Linked DNA regions of Caenorhabditis elegans. The protein of the gene in region 1 interacts with the protein of each later gene in a pairwise test. Each region holds a gene or a part of one and is shown in the gene's direction. Other genes may lie near its edges.

Region 1 (4,436 bases):
CAATAGACGATCTCTCACAACTATGACATTTCACTTTTTAGAAAAAAAAATCTCATTCTTGTTCAGATTATTTCTATCAAAATCTATATATTTATATATTTCAGAGGCCGTCGACGTCGAGAACGTGAATTTACACTTGCTAGAATTAATCATGAAGAAGGATTAAGTACAGATGATGAAGAACCAACTCCCCAGTCAATGAATGATCAAAAGATCTGTGATGAAGTGGAAGCAGTTGCTTCTGTTTTATTTGCAGATGCTCTAGATGAGTATTCTGATCTTCGAAAAGTTTTTGGACGGATGACGGATTGGTTGGCAGTTGATCCGAAGTCGTTTCAGGATGCTTATGTTTATTTGTGTATTCCAAAGTTGAGCTCTCCGTATGTTCGACTACAGATACTCAGAGCGGATTTTCTTAGAGTAAGTAATTTTGTATAGCTTTACAAAACAAAAAAAAAATTTCAGAAAGAAACAATCTTAACTTCTATGCAATGGTTCCATATCGCAATGCTTGCTGGCTCAGAAAATGCAGAAATTGATCAAAGTCATGAAATCCTAGTCGAGCTGGCGCCAGCCATCGTTGAAAAAGTTGTGATTCCATTTTTAATAGGTTTGTTTTTGAAACTTTCATCAAATTTTGGTGATTTTTCTGCTTTCCAAACAAAAATTATTTTTCAAAAACCATATTACAGATACCGTAAAAGAGGAATGGGATCCAATGTCTCTTCGACAAACTCGTCATCTCACAACATTTTGTTCACTTTTTGAAAAACTGCCAAATTTGACGGAAAAAAGCAAGCAATTCAACGCATTTCTAAATGCAATTCGAGAACGAATTTGTGATTGTATTTCTGAAGATCTTTTTATGCCAATTTTCATGCCAAATGCTCTTGAACAACCTATTTGTCGACAATTTCACGATCGACAATTTTGGACTTGTATTAAGGTAATACTTATCTTATCACTAAAACAATACAAAAACATCGAGAAAATTGGTTGAAAAAAAAGATAATTGATTTCCATAGAATTAAGGGTGTTGGATTTGAGAACGTTGAAAAATTTCCTTTTTTTAAAGATTTTTCGATTTTTCATAAACTTTTCCTTATTTTTTCTCTGAAAAACCGCGAAAACCCAAAATTTTTTGCCGACAGCTCTTTTCAGAAACTTTTTAGTACAACATAAATAGCTATTTTGAATATCTCGAAATATAATGTTTGAAACCCCTTTTTTCAAAATTTCCAAAAAAAAAATTACAGCTCATAAAATCGATAAATGCCCTCTCACCACTGATATCAATTGCCGCCAGATTTGAATTGGTTGTTGAAAAATGTGTCAACTCTCAATGTGTTATGGCTCTTCGTACTGGTTCGAAAAACGACGTGACTGCTGAACGAAAGGTTCGGGGATTGCTCGCCGAGCTTGATGATTCGCTTTTGAAAATGGGTGGAAGAACATCATTTCGTCAATTAATTGGAACACTCGAGCTAATTGCTGAAGAGCAGAGTAAAGCAGGAAGGTAAGTGACATGAAATCAAATTATTCATGAAAATAATTTATTTTTCAGGAGCTTCCACAAGGAGATTCGAAAGTTTTTGGAGAAACTCGAGCGGTGATTGATTTCTGAAAAAAAGCATAAAAAACCGGTTTCATCAATTAGTTTTTAATTTTTTTTATTTCCTTCTCTTTCTGTTCTGTCAAATTTACAAAATAATGAATTATTTATTTTATTTTCATTCCCATTCTATTCCTTATCAAAATGTTTTTTGATCATCGAGCTATTTTCTTGCCATTATTTTCATTTGCTTTATGTTTCAGTTGTTCAGATTTTCACAAAAGAAATCAATTTTTAGATGAGTACACTTGCTCAAAGATTTAGCACATTAGTGCGCATGTATGAAAAAACTGCGAATCGACAATTAGGAGAGCTGAGAGTTTTACAGAGAATAGCGTTACAAGGAGGACTCAGGGATACACCTGCGCTTAGAGATTCGGTCAGTTTTTAAACCACTAAAACGAAAATTTGAGAAAAAAAAAAGTTTTTAAAAACTCCCAGCTGAAATTATAAAATTAAATTGTAAAAAAAATTTCAGATAGCAGCATATGAAAAAGATTTGGAAGATGGATTACGTGGTATTCTCACAGTTCGTGGAGAGTTGCATGATTCACGACAAGAAAATGAATTTGATTCTATAATTGACCCTATCAGGTATTCCAAAATTATTTAACAAAAAATAGTTAGCTCAAATTTTTGCAGACAGCAAATTAAAACCTTGTTAAATGTGACAAGATCCCTACCCGCTGTCAATTTACCCGGATCAAATCCTTTTGAACAAGCAACAGAAGACGATAATCCATATGAAATGGAATCACGAAGGTAGGAAACTATCAAAGAATTTACAATAATTTTCATATTTCCAGATACCTCCGAGAAACAACGTTGAAAGACAATGAACTACGACAATTGGCAGATGATATGAAGGAACGGGCTGAAGCGACAGTGAAAATTGAAAAGGATATGGCTGATTTAGAGAAAATATTTCAAGAACTTGGAAGAATTGTTCACGAACAACATGATGTTGTAGATTCAATTGAGGAGCAGGTTGAAAGAGCAACTGAAGATGTTAAACGAGGAAATGAGAATTTGAAAAAAGCTGTGAAATCGAAAGCGGCGAAGGTATTGATTTTATTTGATTTTAAAGTTGGAGTATGGGGATTTTGCTTCAAAAATTTCTAGAATCGTCTCAAATTCAGAAAAAAATCCATAAATAAACAGGAACAAATTTTTATCGATTTCATGAGCTGCAAATTTTTTGTTAGAAATTTTCAAAAAAATTTTTTATTTTATTGAGAAAAATATGAACACTTTTAATATAGAAATTATTAAAAGTGGAGTACCGAATGGCATTTTGCTTTAAAATTTTGTATTTTGTATCGTATCAATTAAGAAAACCCTCCAAGAAAAAACGAAAATAATCACGAAAAATAATCCAAATTTTGAAATTATGATTTTTCATTTTTGGCTCTAATCTCCCGTTTGAAATTTCTCAAAAATTAAAGTTGCCACCAATCAGCGATTCGCTCCACCCACTTTTCCACCAATTAGACTGAGTGGGCGGAGTTCGAAGATGTTGATTGGTCGGGAAGTTCTCATTTTTGAGGAAATTCAAACAGGGAATTAAAAAATTGAAAAGTGGGATTTTTTCACTCTTTAGTGTTTTTTGTGCTTATTCTCTTTCTGATTTTTGAACTACTTCACCTTCAAAAATTGAATTTCAGGCTCCACTTTATGCCGGAGTTGTGGGTGGACTTGCAGTCGGAGGGCCTGTTGGATTGGCAGCTGGATCAGCTATTGCTGGAATTGCAGCTGGTGTCGGAGGTTTAGTCGCTAGTAAGTAAATAACAAAAATTAAATTAAAATAACAAAAATTAAATTAAATTAAAAATAAAAATAAAGTTTTTCAGCAATCTACACCGGGAAATTTTTCAAACGATCGGCCACGAGTGATTGAGAGTTCTTTATTCTATCTGTATAATGTACATTATTATTTTCATCATTTTGTTTCCATTTACTGTATTATATTATTGATAGAGATTTCCTAGACCATTGATTCGGGGTTATTTGCATGAAATTCCATCGTTTTCGGGATCATTTTTCTGCTATGTCAAAATGTAAATTAAATGAACAGCTTTTTTAGAAATACTTCAATTCTCTGGTTCTTTTCAAATTAGGTTGCGAAACCATTTTCTTATTTTTTTTCCTCGATTTTTCAAACAAAAGAAAACAGATATCCTAGATTTTCGGATTTTTTTTGAAATAAAAAAAAATCAAAAAAGTTTTCAGATGGCAGTTTTAATTGAAACTACACTTGGTGACCTTATAATCGATTTATTCGTGAAAGAACGTCCCAGATGTTCACTTAATTTTTTGAAATTGTGCAAAAAGAAGTACTACAATCTCAACCAGTTTCATAGTATTGAGAGAAATTACGTAGCACAGACAGGTGACCCGACTGGAACTGGAAAAGGAGGAGAATCTGTTTATAGGTACGATCATTATCCGTATCAGGGCTGAATTCAAAAAAAATTGTTTTTTTGCAAAAAGAAAAAATATGTTTAACTGAACAAGAAAAAAAAAAGTTTAAAAAAATAATTTCGAGTGTAATTTTTTGGAAAAATGTCAAATTAAGAATATTTTGCATCGTTTTGTTTTCAAAAAAAGCGAAAAATACTTTTTTTCGGCAAAAGTGAAAACAAAAAATCTACAGCCCTTGGTGTTTTTTCTCTGGAAATTTCTCAATGTATCCTTTCTATTTTCAAGACTTGCAGAATTGCCCCAAAAATTGCTTTCGTGGAAAATTATGAATACGCTGTGGAAGTTTTAAGATTTTTTCGCTGAACGTATTTTGAATTTTGCGATAAAATTGGGGCAATAATTT
Region 2 (7,741 bases), 3.3 Mb from region 1:
GTGAAAAAATGCTCGAAGTTTTCAGTTTTCAAAAAGATTTATTATTTAAGTGTAGATGGTGAAAAACATGCACGAAGATAGAATTTTTGGTGGAATGTATATCACAAGTGCAATCTCTTTGAGTCACTCGGCGGCGTTGTCAGTTTACTTGTTGGCGTAGTTGACACGAAGGTTGCGTCCATTGAAGGCAACTCCGTTAAGTTGTTCGACGGCTCTTTGAGCTCCGGCTTCCTCGGAGAACTCGACGAATGCGAAACCGCGTGGGCGTCCGGTTTCACGATCGTACACGATTCTGGAAGACATTGATTAGTTTTGACAAGGTTTTAATCGAAAGTTTCCGAGTTTCTGAGTTTCTGAGTTCTCTTACCTGACGTTGTTAACATGTCCGACGGCGGCGAAGTAGTTTCCGATCTCCTCCTCAGTTCCTTGGTATGGAACGTTTCCAACTAGAAAAAAATCGATTAGCAAAACGGGGGTAATAGTAGGTTTTGGCCTATATATAGAAAGTTACAAACTCTCACAATGCACTGTTACAGAGCAAATGCACCCTATCCTAGTCCTAGACTACGGAGACCATGACAGTGCGAAAAGTCTCTTCACCCATACTTTTTGTGGTCGAACGGCGTCTCCATTTCCAGAATTGTGTGGCGATCCGTGTGGGGTCCCGGGTACTCAGTTAGTAGACTCAGTTATACTTATACACGTGGAAGGGGACTACCTGAAATATCGGGATTTGTTGTCAAGGAACACGAATGAACCATAGAGAACGAAGGCCGATCGGAAAACGCTAACAATTATCAGAAATCGATACTTTCTGCAAGTCGAAGAAAAGTTCATCGAAGAAAAGTGTGAGAAAGTTTCAGAAGTTTTGAGAATTTTGTATCATATTCAAAATTTGTACAAATTTAAATTTAATTTTCACCACCGATTTATTACTATACTTACCGTAGACGGAGAATCCTTGGGAAGCCATGATAGATTTTTTTTTGAAGAAAAACGAGTGTGTTTCCGCGTGGAAGACAGACTAAAAATGTTCGATCGAATTTGGCAGTCCTAAAAAGATTGAGGCCAAACGCGCGGCGGGTCTCGCAGCGAACGTGCCGCACTACGGTCGATTTTGTGTAGGTTTACGGGAGGGATATTTTGGAGAAGAAATCGGCAATTGTTGGGAAAGTGAAATGCTTATTACGTAACAAATTTGACGCGAAATATACCTCGTAGCGAAAACTACAGTAATTCTTTAAATGACTACTGTACGGGCTCGGTATTCGAAATGAATTTTAGCTTCTGTGACACAACCAAGTTGGCGAAAATTGAGAATTTAGCTATATTTTGTTATTTTTCTCAGAATTAGAACAATTTCATTGATAAATAAAAAGGACCATCTCTCCGAAACCTCGCCATTTCACGATATTTTGAATATTTTGAACAGTAAATATTGAAATTTCAATCTCATTCTATTTTCGCATTTTCCTGTATCGATTTTTTGTTTTGTATATCATTTTTTAGACCGAAAAAAATTAATATTTAAATAAATATAAAACATTTCCGGAAATGAAAATATTTCCGATGAATCACAGCGAGACACTGTATGTATTCGAGAGAGTGCAGACGCTCGCTTGCGCACTTCTCGTGAGTGTTTGCTGACGCATCCCGGGTGCACCTTGGCGCATTTCTGGATTAATGATATTTTAATTGAAAAACATGAGATTTTATTGGTTTTTCCTCGTTTTTTGCAGTTTTTCCGATGAAAAAAAACATTTTCTGACAGAAATAATAATTTTGAAGCTGAAAAACTATGTATTTTATGATATTTCGTTGGAAAATTAGGTTTTATAAGTTTTTCAGTGAATTTGTGGGTTTAGCATGTAAATGAAGCAATTTTATATGTTTTCTAGCGATTTTTCCCGGTAAAGTTACCAATTTCAGCATAATTTTATTAAAAAAGTGGCTTTTCTGTTTAAAAAACTCAATTTTATAATTTTTCCAGTGCATTTTCGTGTTTACCATTAACATTAGAGTTTTTCGTGGAATTTTCCAACTAATTTCATTGATTTTGGCTGCTCGCTTTTATGAAGTTTCCAGTGAATTTTTATGTTTAACTAATTTTTTTCACGATTTTCGTGCCAATTTCCATTAAATCCATGGATTTTTACATATTATTCAGGGAAGAAAGTGATTTTTTTTCGATTTCAAGTCATCTTCTGTGAATTCTAACGCTTTCTCGCAATTTCCACCCACATAATCCCGCAATTTCTGCACATTTTCAGCAATGCCTCTAACAAAACGGGCGGTATCACCGGTAAACCTCAGCAGAGGCACAATTCCATCAACAATCCATCGTGATGAGCTTCAATGTACTGCTAATGGGACAATCGCCAATTTAGTACGACAATTGAGCTCGTTGAGGTGGGAAATTAGGTCGGAAAACTGGAATTTTATCGATTTTTTTTTGCAGTAAGCACGCTGAGAACATCTTCGGAGAGATTTATCACGACGCAATGATAATAAATCACAAATCGAACACTCTTCAACAGAGAATTGATAGATTGCACAAGAAAGTTGAAGATTTGGATTCAAATTCCGATCAAGCAACGTTGAATGAAGCGAATATGCGAAAAGCATTCAAAAGTTCAATGCTTGTAGATCAACATATTCTGGATAGAAGCACTTTACCTACAGCATTGACTGAAATATATGCAAAATGTGATCCACCGCCGGATCTTGATGCTCTAAATCCGTATAGAGACTCTGAAATCCCTGCGCTCTCTCTCTACACAAATCCCTCGTTTTTCTTCGATTTATGGAAAAAGGAGACACTAAAAGAGGTTGCCGAACGGCCCAGACGGGTAAAAAGCCCGAACGACGGGAGTAAAAGCCCGAAAAAGCGGCGGAAGCAGCCTGGACAAGGCCCTCTCGGCACGACGGCCTATAATGATATGCAGCATAGGAATCGACAGATTAGTGGATCACGGATTAATCAGCAGAATGAAGTTTTCTCGTTCCCGGAGGAATATCAGGCTCCGCAGGCTCTCGGGCTTCAGCTTAACTTTAAAAATCAGGTAGATTTTCGCGAGATTTTTCGATTTTTTGAAGAGAAAATCTCCAAACCGTTGAAAATCGGAAAAAATCGATAATTGAGCCCAAAAATTTGAAAAAAATCGAGTTTTTTGCTGAAAAAGTGAATTTTCTATTGTTTAAAAAGAAAATCAACTTTTCAACGAGATTTCAGCGCTTACACAGCTCTTGTGCTCCCCGAGCAGGCCAAAATGTTCTATTTTGGGGCAAAATTATGGGTTTCCAGTAATTTGGAGCATGAAATTTCCTAAAAATGCACTTTTTCGCCAAAAAACAAGCCAAAATCAATGAGAAAAAGTCACTTTTTCATTAAAATCTGCGAAGATTGATAAGTTTTTGGAAAAATCGCTAGAAACCCTACAAATTAACTTCAAAAAAACTATGAAATCGAATTTTTCAACGAAGTCCCAGCTTTTCCGCTTCAAATGATTTTTTACCGTTGAAAATCGGAAAAAATCGATAATTGAGCCCAAAAATTTGAAAAAAAATCGAGTTTTTTGCTGAAAAAGTGAATTTTCTATTGTTTAAAAAGAAAATCAACTTTTCAACGAGATTTCAGCGCTTACACAGCTCTTGTGCTCCCCGAGAAGGCAAAAATTCTCTATTTTGGGCCAATATTTGGGTTTTTTAGCCATTTGGGGCTTGAAATTTCATAAAAATTCACTAGAAACTTCCAAAAAGCCGAGTTTTCACCGAAAAACAAGCGAAAATCAATGAAATTAGTGGGAAATTCCTTAGAAAAAATAATTTTTCAACAGAAAAGTGCCACTTTTTCATTAAAAATATGCGAAAATTGATAATTTTTTTTTTGGAAAAATCGCTAGAAACCCTACAAATTAACTATAAAAATCCTATAAAGTCGAAAGTTTCAATGGGAACAAATAATTTTGAAGCTGAAAAGTTATGGATTCTAGAGGATTTCGTTGAAAAATTCGATTTTATAGGGTTTTTATAATTAATTTGTACGGTTTCTAGGGATTTTTCCAAAAAAACTTATCAATTTCAGCATATTTTTAGTGAAAAAGTGAAACATTTCTGTTGAAAAACGTTTTTCATTGATTTTGGCTTGTCTTTGAGGCTGAAAACTCGAGTTTTTTGGAAGTTTTCAGTGAATTTTTAAGAAATTTCATGCTCCAAATGACAAAAAAACTCTGAAAAATCGATAATTAAGCCCAAATATCCTTCTCTGGGAGTAATTTTGAAGAAAAAAACGATTTTTTCCACTGAAAATCTCCCAATTTTTGATAAATTCAGCACCCCTCCAACATGGTTGCCCCAATCGGAATGACAATGCACCATCATCCTCAACAAAATGTGCATCCGAGCCAACAACGAGGTGGTGCTCCAGCAGCAGCTCGTGGATCTCCGAATGTTAAACGTCCGACTGAAGCTCCGCCGCCAGTGAATCTGGATCACCTCCCACCACCGGATATGTCAATTTTATCGATTGATGATGATGATGATGATCTTCCACCACCACCACCACCGCTTCTCATGAATACATCAATTGTACATCAGTTACCAGCAGAAGCTCCGTCGACGATACAGTTTGTCGAGCCGAGTGCTGCTCCGCCGACTAATGTACGTTTTGGAGCTCGAGAGAATTTGGAGATTTTGGAGTAAAATCTTGGTTTTTGCGAGGAAAAAAGCTTGCGTTTTTGCTTTAAATTGTCCGTTTTCACGACGAAAAAGCTTGGAAAAGCTTGAAAAAACTAGAAAATGTGAAAAGTCTCTATTATTCTAAGTTATTATGAGCGTTTAGAAGCCTTAAGCCTTTTTCAGGCAAAATCTCGCTTTTTCGCTTTAATTTGTTCATTTGGGCCACGAAATCACGAAAAATTGGTTGAACTCTATTAGAAAGGCTTGAAACGGCTTGAAACCGTTTGGAAAAGCTTGGAAAAGCCTGACAGAGCTTGAACTAGCTTGGAAGAACTTGAAAGAGAACGATAAAGCTTGAACAAGTTTGGAAAGCCTGACAGAGCTTGAACTAGCTTGGAGAAGCTTAAAGAGCTTGAAAAAATAGTGAACAAGCTTGGAGAACCTTGAAATGGCTTGAAAACGTTTGGAAAACCCTGGAAAAGGCTTGAAAAGGCCTGCAAAAGACAGGAAAAGATTCCAAAACGCTTAAGAAAGCTTGAACAAGCTTGGAAAAGCTTGAAAGAGCAAGAAAAAGCCTGGAAAAGCTTGTAGAGCTTAAACGAACTTGTAATAGCTTGAAAAGGCTTGGAAAAGCCTGACAGAGCTTGAAATAGCTTGAATGAGCTTAACGAGCTTATAATAGTTTGAAAAAGCCTGGAAAAACCTGGAAAAGCTTGGAGGAGCTTGAACAAGCTTGACCAAGCTTGAGCAAGCCTGAAAGAGTTGGGAAAAGCCTGAAAAAGCTTGGAAACGCCTTGAAAAAGCTTGGAGGAGCTTGAACAAGCTTGACAAAGCTTGAAAAAGCCTGACTGAGCTTGAAATAGCTTCGATGAGCTTAAACAGCTTGAAACAGCTTGAAAGAGAACGATAGTGGCTTCGAAAAGCTTACAGAGCTTAAAAAAGCCTGGAAAAACTTCAAAATGCTCGTGCGAGCTTGAAACAGCTTGTAAAGCCTGAAAGAGCTTGGAAAAGGCGTCAAAAAGCTTAGACGAGCTCGAAAAAGCTTGCGAAAGCCTGGAAAAGCTAAAAAAGCCTGACTGAGCTTGAAATATCTTCGATGAGCTTAAAAAGCTTGAAACAGCTTGGAAAAGCTTGGAAATTTGTGAAAAGCTCCAAGATTTCTTGTAGTGCATAAAATTAATTTGAAGCTATATTTCTGCAATTTCCAAGCTTAAAACCCCGAATTTTTCAGTTAAAAATTTGCAATTTTTGTCCATTTTTGTGTTTCCCTCATTGTTGTCCACTTTCCGCTTCTTTCTTCAATTCTCGATCCCTTTCAGATCCCTCCACCACCTCCACCACCACCTCCAATGGTTATAAGCTCGGCTGCAGCGTCATTTGCAGCTCCGGCTCCAAAGGTAAAGGCGCTGGAACAGCAGGGCTCTATGTGTGTCTAACCCGCTGAAAATGTGTAGTTTTCCTGTGTTTTTTGGACTTTTTTGAAGCTTTTTTAGGGACAAATTTCAAGAGAAATAGCCGAATTTTCATCAAAAAATCGATTTTCTCCCACTAAAACTGAAATTTTCAGCCATCCGCGGACGGTGAAGCTGCTGGCACAAATTCCCCAGTTGCTCCAAAACAACCAGATGCTCGAAGTGATCTTTTGGCTCAAATTCAATCTGGAATAAAGCTGAAAAAAGTGCAAAGAGCCGAGGCAGAAGCCGCCGAGAATGCTGCTCTCGAGGCGAATAATGTTGCGGCGATATTGAAGAGACGAATGGATCAAGTTATGGGAAATGATGATTCAAGTAGTGAAGAAGGAGCTGATGATGATGAATGGGATGATTAATTGCTCTCTTTTGTGTCGATTTACGCAGATCTCGTGTACTCCTCGAGGAGAAGATTCTACAGATTTTGGCTAAAAATGCTTGATTTTCGCTATTTTTTCCTTGAAAATTAACATTCAAAGCGGTGATTTTTAAGCGAAAAACCCGTGAAAATAGCTCTAAATCAAGCATTATTACCCATTTTTGCATTTTTACTGATTTTTTCGGTGAAAAAAAAAACGATTTTTCGCTGAAATTCTTGATTTTCGCTATTTTTACTTGAAAATTAACATTCAAAGCGGTTATTTATGCACTTTTAAGTGAAATCTGAGTGTTTTTAAAGTTAAAAATAAAAATAATTCATTGATTTTTGCCAAAAAAAAAACCGTGAACATTGCGAAAATGGCTCAAAATCAAGTACTTTTTTTTGCTAAAATGGTTGATTTTGAGCCATTTTCGCTATTTTCACGGTTTTTTTTTGTCGGTGAAAACTTTAAAATCGCTCAAATTTCACTTAAAACGCTATAAATAACCGGTTTAAATGTTAATTTTGATAGAAAAATAGCGAAAATCAAGCATTTTTAAGCCAAAAAACTGTAAAATCTTCTCCTCGGGGACTACACGAGCTGCGTAAATCGACGCACACTTTTTCGAATTTTCTTGTGTAAATACTGCCTTGCTTTAATTTATTTATTCAAAAATTTTTAAAATTTTTTCCGCTTTCCTGTTTCAAATGAACTGATTTTTCTCATTTTTTGCCCCTCCAGAATTGTAAATTTAAATTTCCAAGTGGTCGCCTGCCCCCTCATTATTATTTCGCAATTTTATGATTCATCAGTTTTTCCAATTTTTATTCGATTTTTTTTCAATTTAAATCAATTTAAACCTTTGAAATGTAGGAAAACTTCAATTTTCGCTTAAAATTTTCAATTTTTGGTGAAAAATCGATTTTTCCGGAAAAAAAACGTGAAATTTCCAATTTGGAGCACATTTTTATGAAATTTGCATCATTTCTCTCGAATTTACGAAAATATTTAAATTTTCAGCGGAATTTGGACATATTTCCTGGAAAACTCTTGATTTTTCGCAGAAAATTGCAATTTTTCATGCAAAAATTTGTTTTCTACGCATCGGAGCTCCAAAATTCCCAAATTATTCGAAAATTCAATTTTTAGCTTTTTTTTTCTCGAAATTTCAATTGAAAATCGTGTTTTTTGGCTCATTTTAGCTCAGTTTTCAGCTGAAAAATTCGAAATTGG

Evidence for each region.
Region 2: the proteins of syx-17 (region 1) and wve-1 interact in a two-hybrid assay, tested with the Caenorhabditis elegans proteins (one large-scale study listed by BioGRID).

Annotation. Positions count from the first base shown.
Region 1 is NC_003279.8:8,642,610-8,647,045, forward strand, and holds syx-17 (t-SNARE coiled-coil homology domain-containing protein), read left to right. Parts: upstream 1-1,850; 5' UTR 1,851-1,889; coding exon 1,890-1,991; intron 1,992-2,090; coding exon 2,091-2,206; intron 2,207-2,254; coding exon 2,255-2,374; intron 2,375-2,418; coding exon 2,419-2,674; intron 2,675-3,276; coding exon 3,277-3,388; intron 3,389-3,462; coding exon 3,463-3,509; 3' UTR 3,510-3,695; downstream 3,696-4,436. Other genes in the region: mog-7 (GCF C-terminal domain-containing protein), read left to right, coding at 105-420, 466-610, 693-946, 1,257-1,516, 1,565-1,613; Peptidyl-prolyl cis-trans isomerase sig-7, read left to right, coding at 3,842-4,044.
Region 2 is NC_003279.8:11,924,039-11,931,779, reverse strand, and holds wve-1 (Wiskott-Aldrich syndrome protein family member), read left to right. Parts: upstream 1-2,263; 5' UTR 2,264-2,272; coding exon 2,273-2,409; intron 2,410-2,458; coding exon 2,459-3,062; intron 3,063-4,332; coding exon 4,333-4,659; intron 4,660-5,996; coding exon 5,997-6,074; intron 6,075-6,244; coding exon 6,245-6,505; 3' UTR 6,506-7,239; downstream 7,240-7,741. Other genes in the region: R06C1.4 (RRM domain-containing protein), read right to left, coding at 145-292, 368-446, 946-973.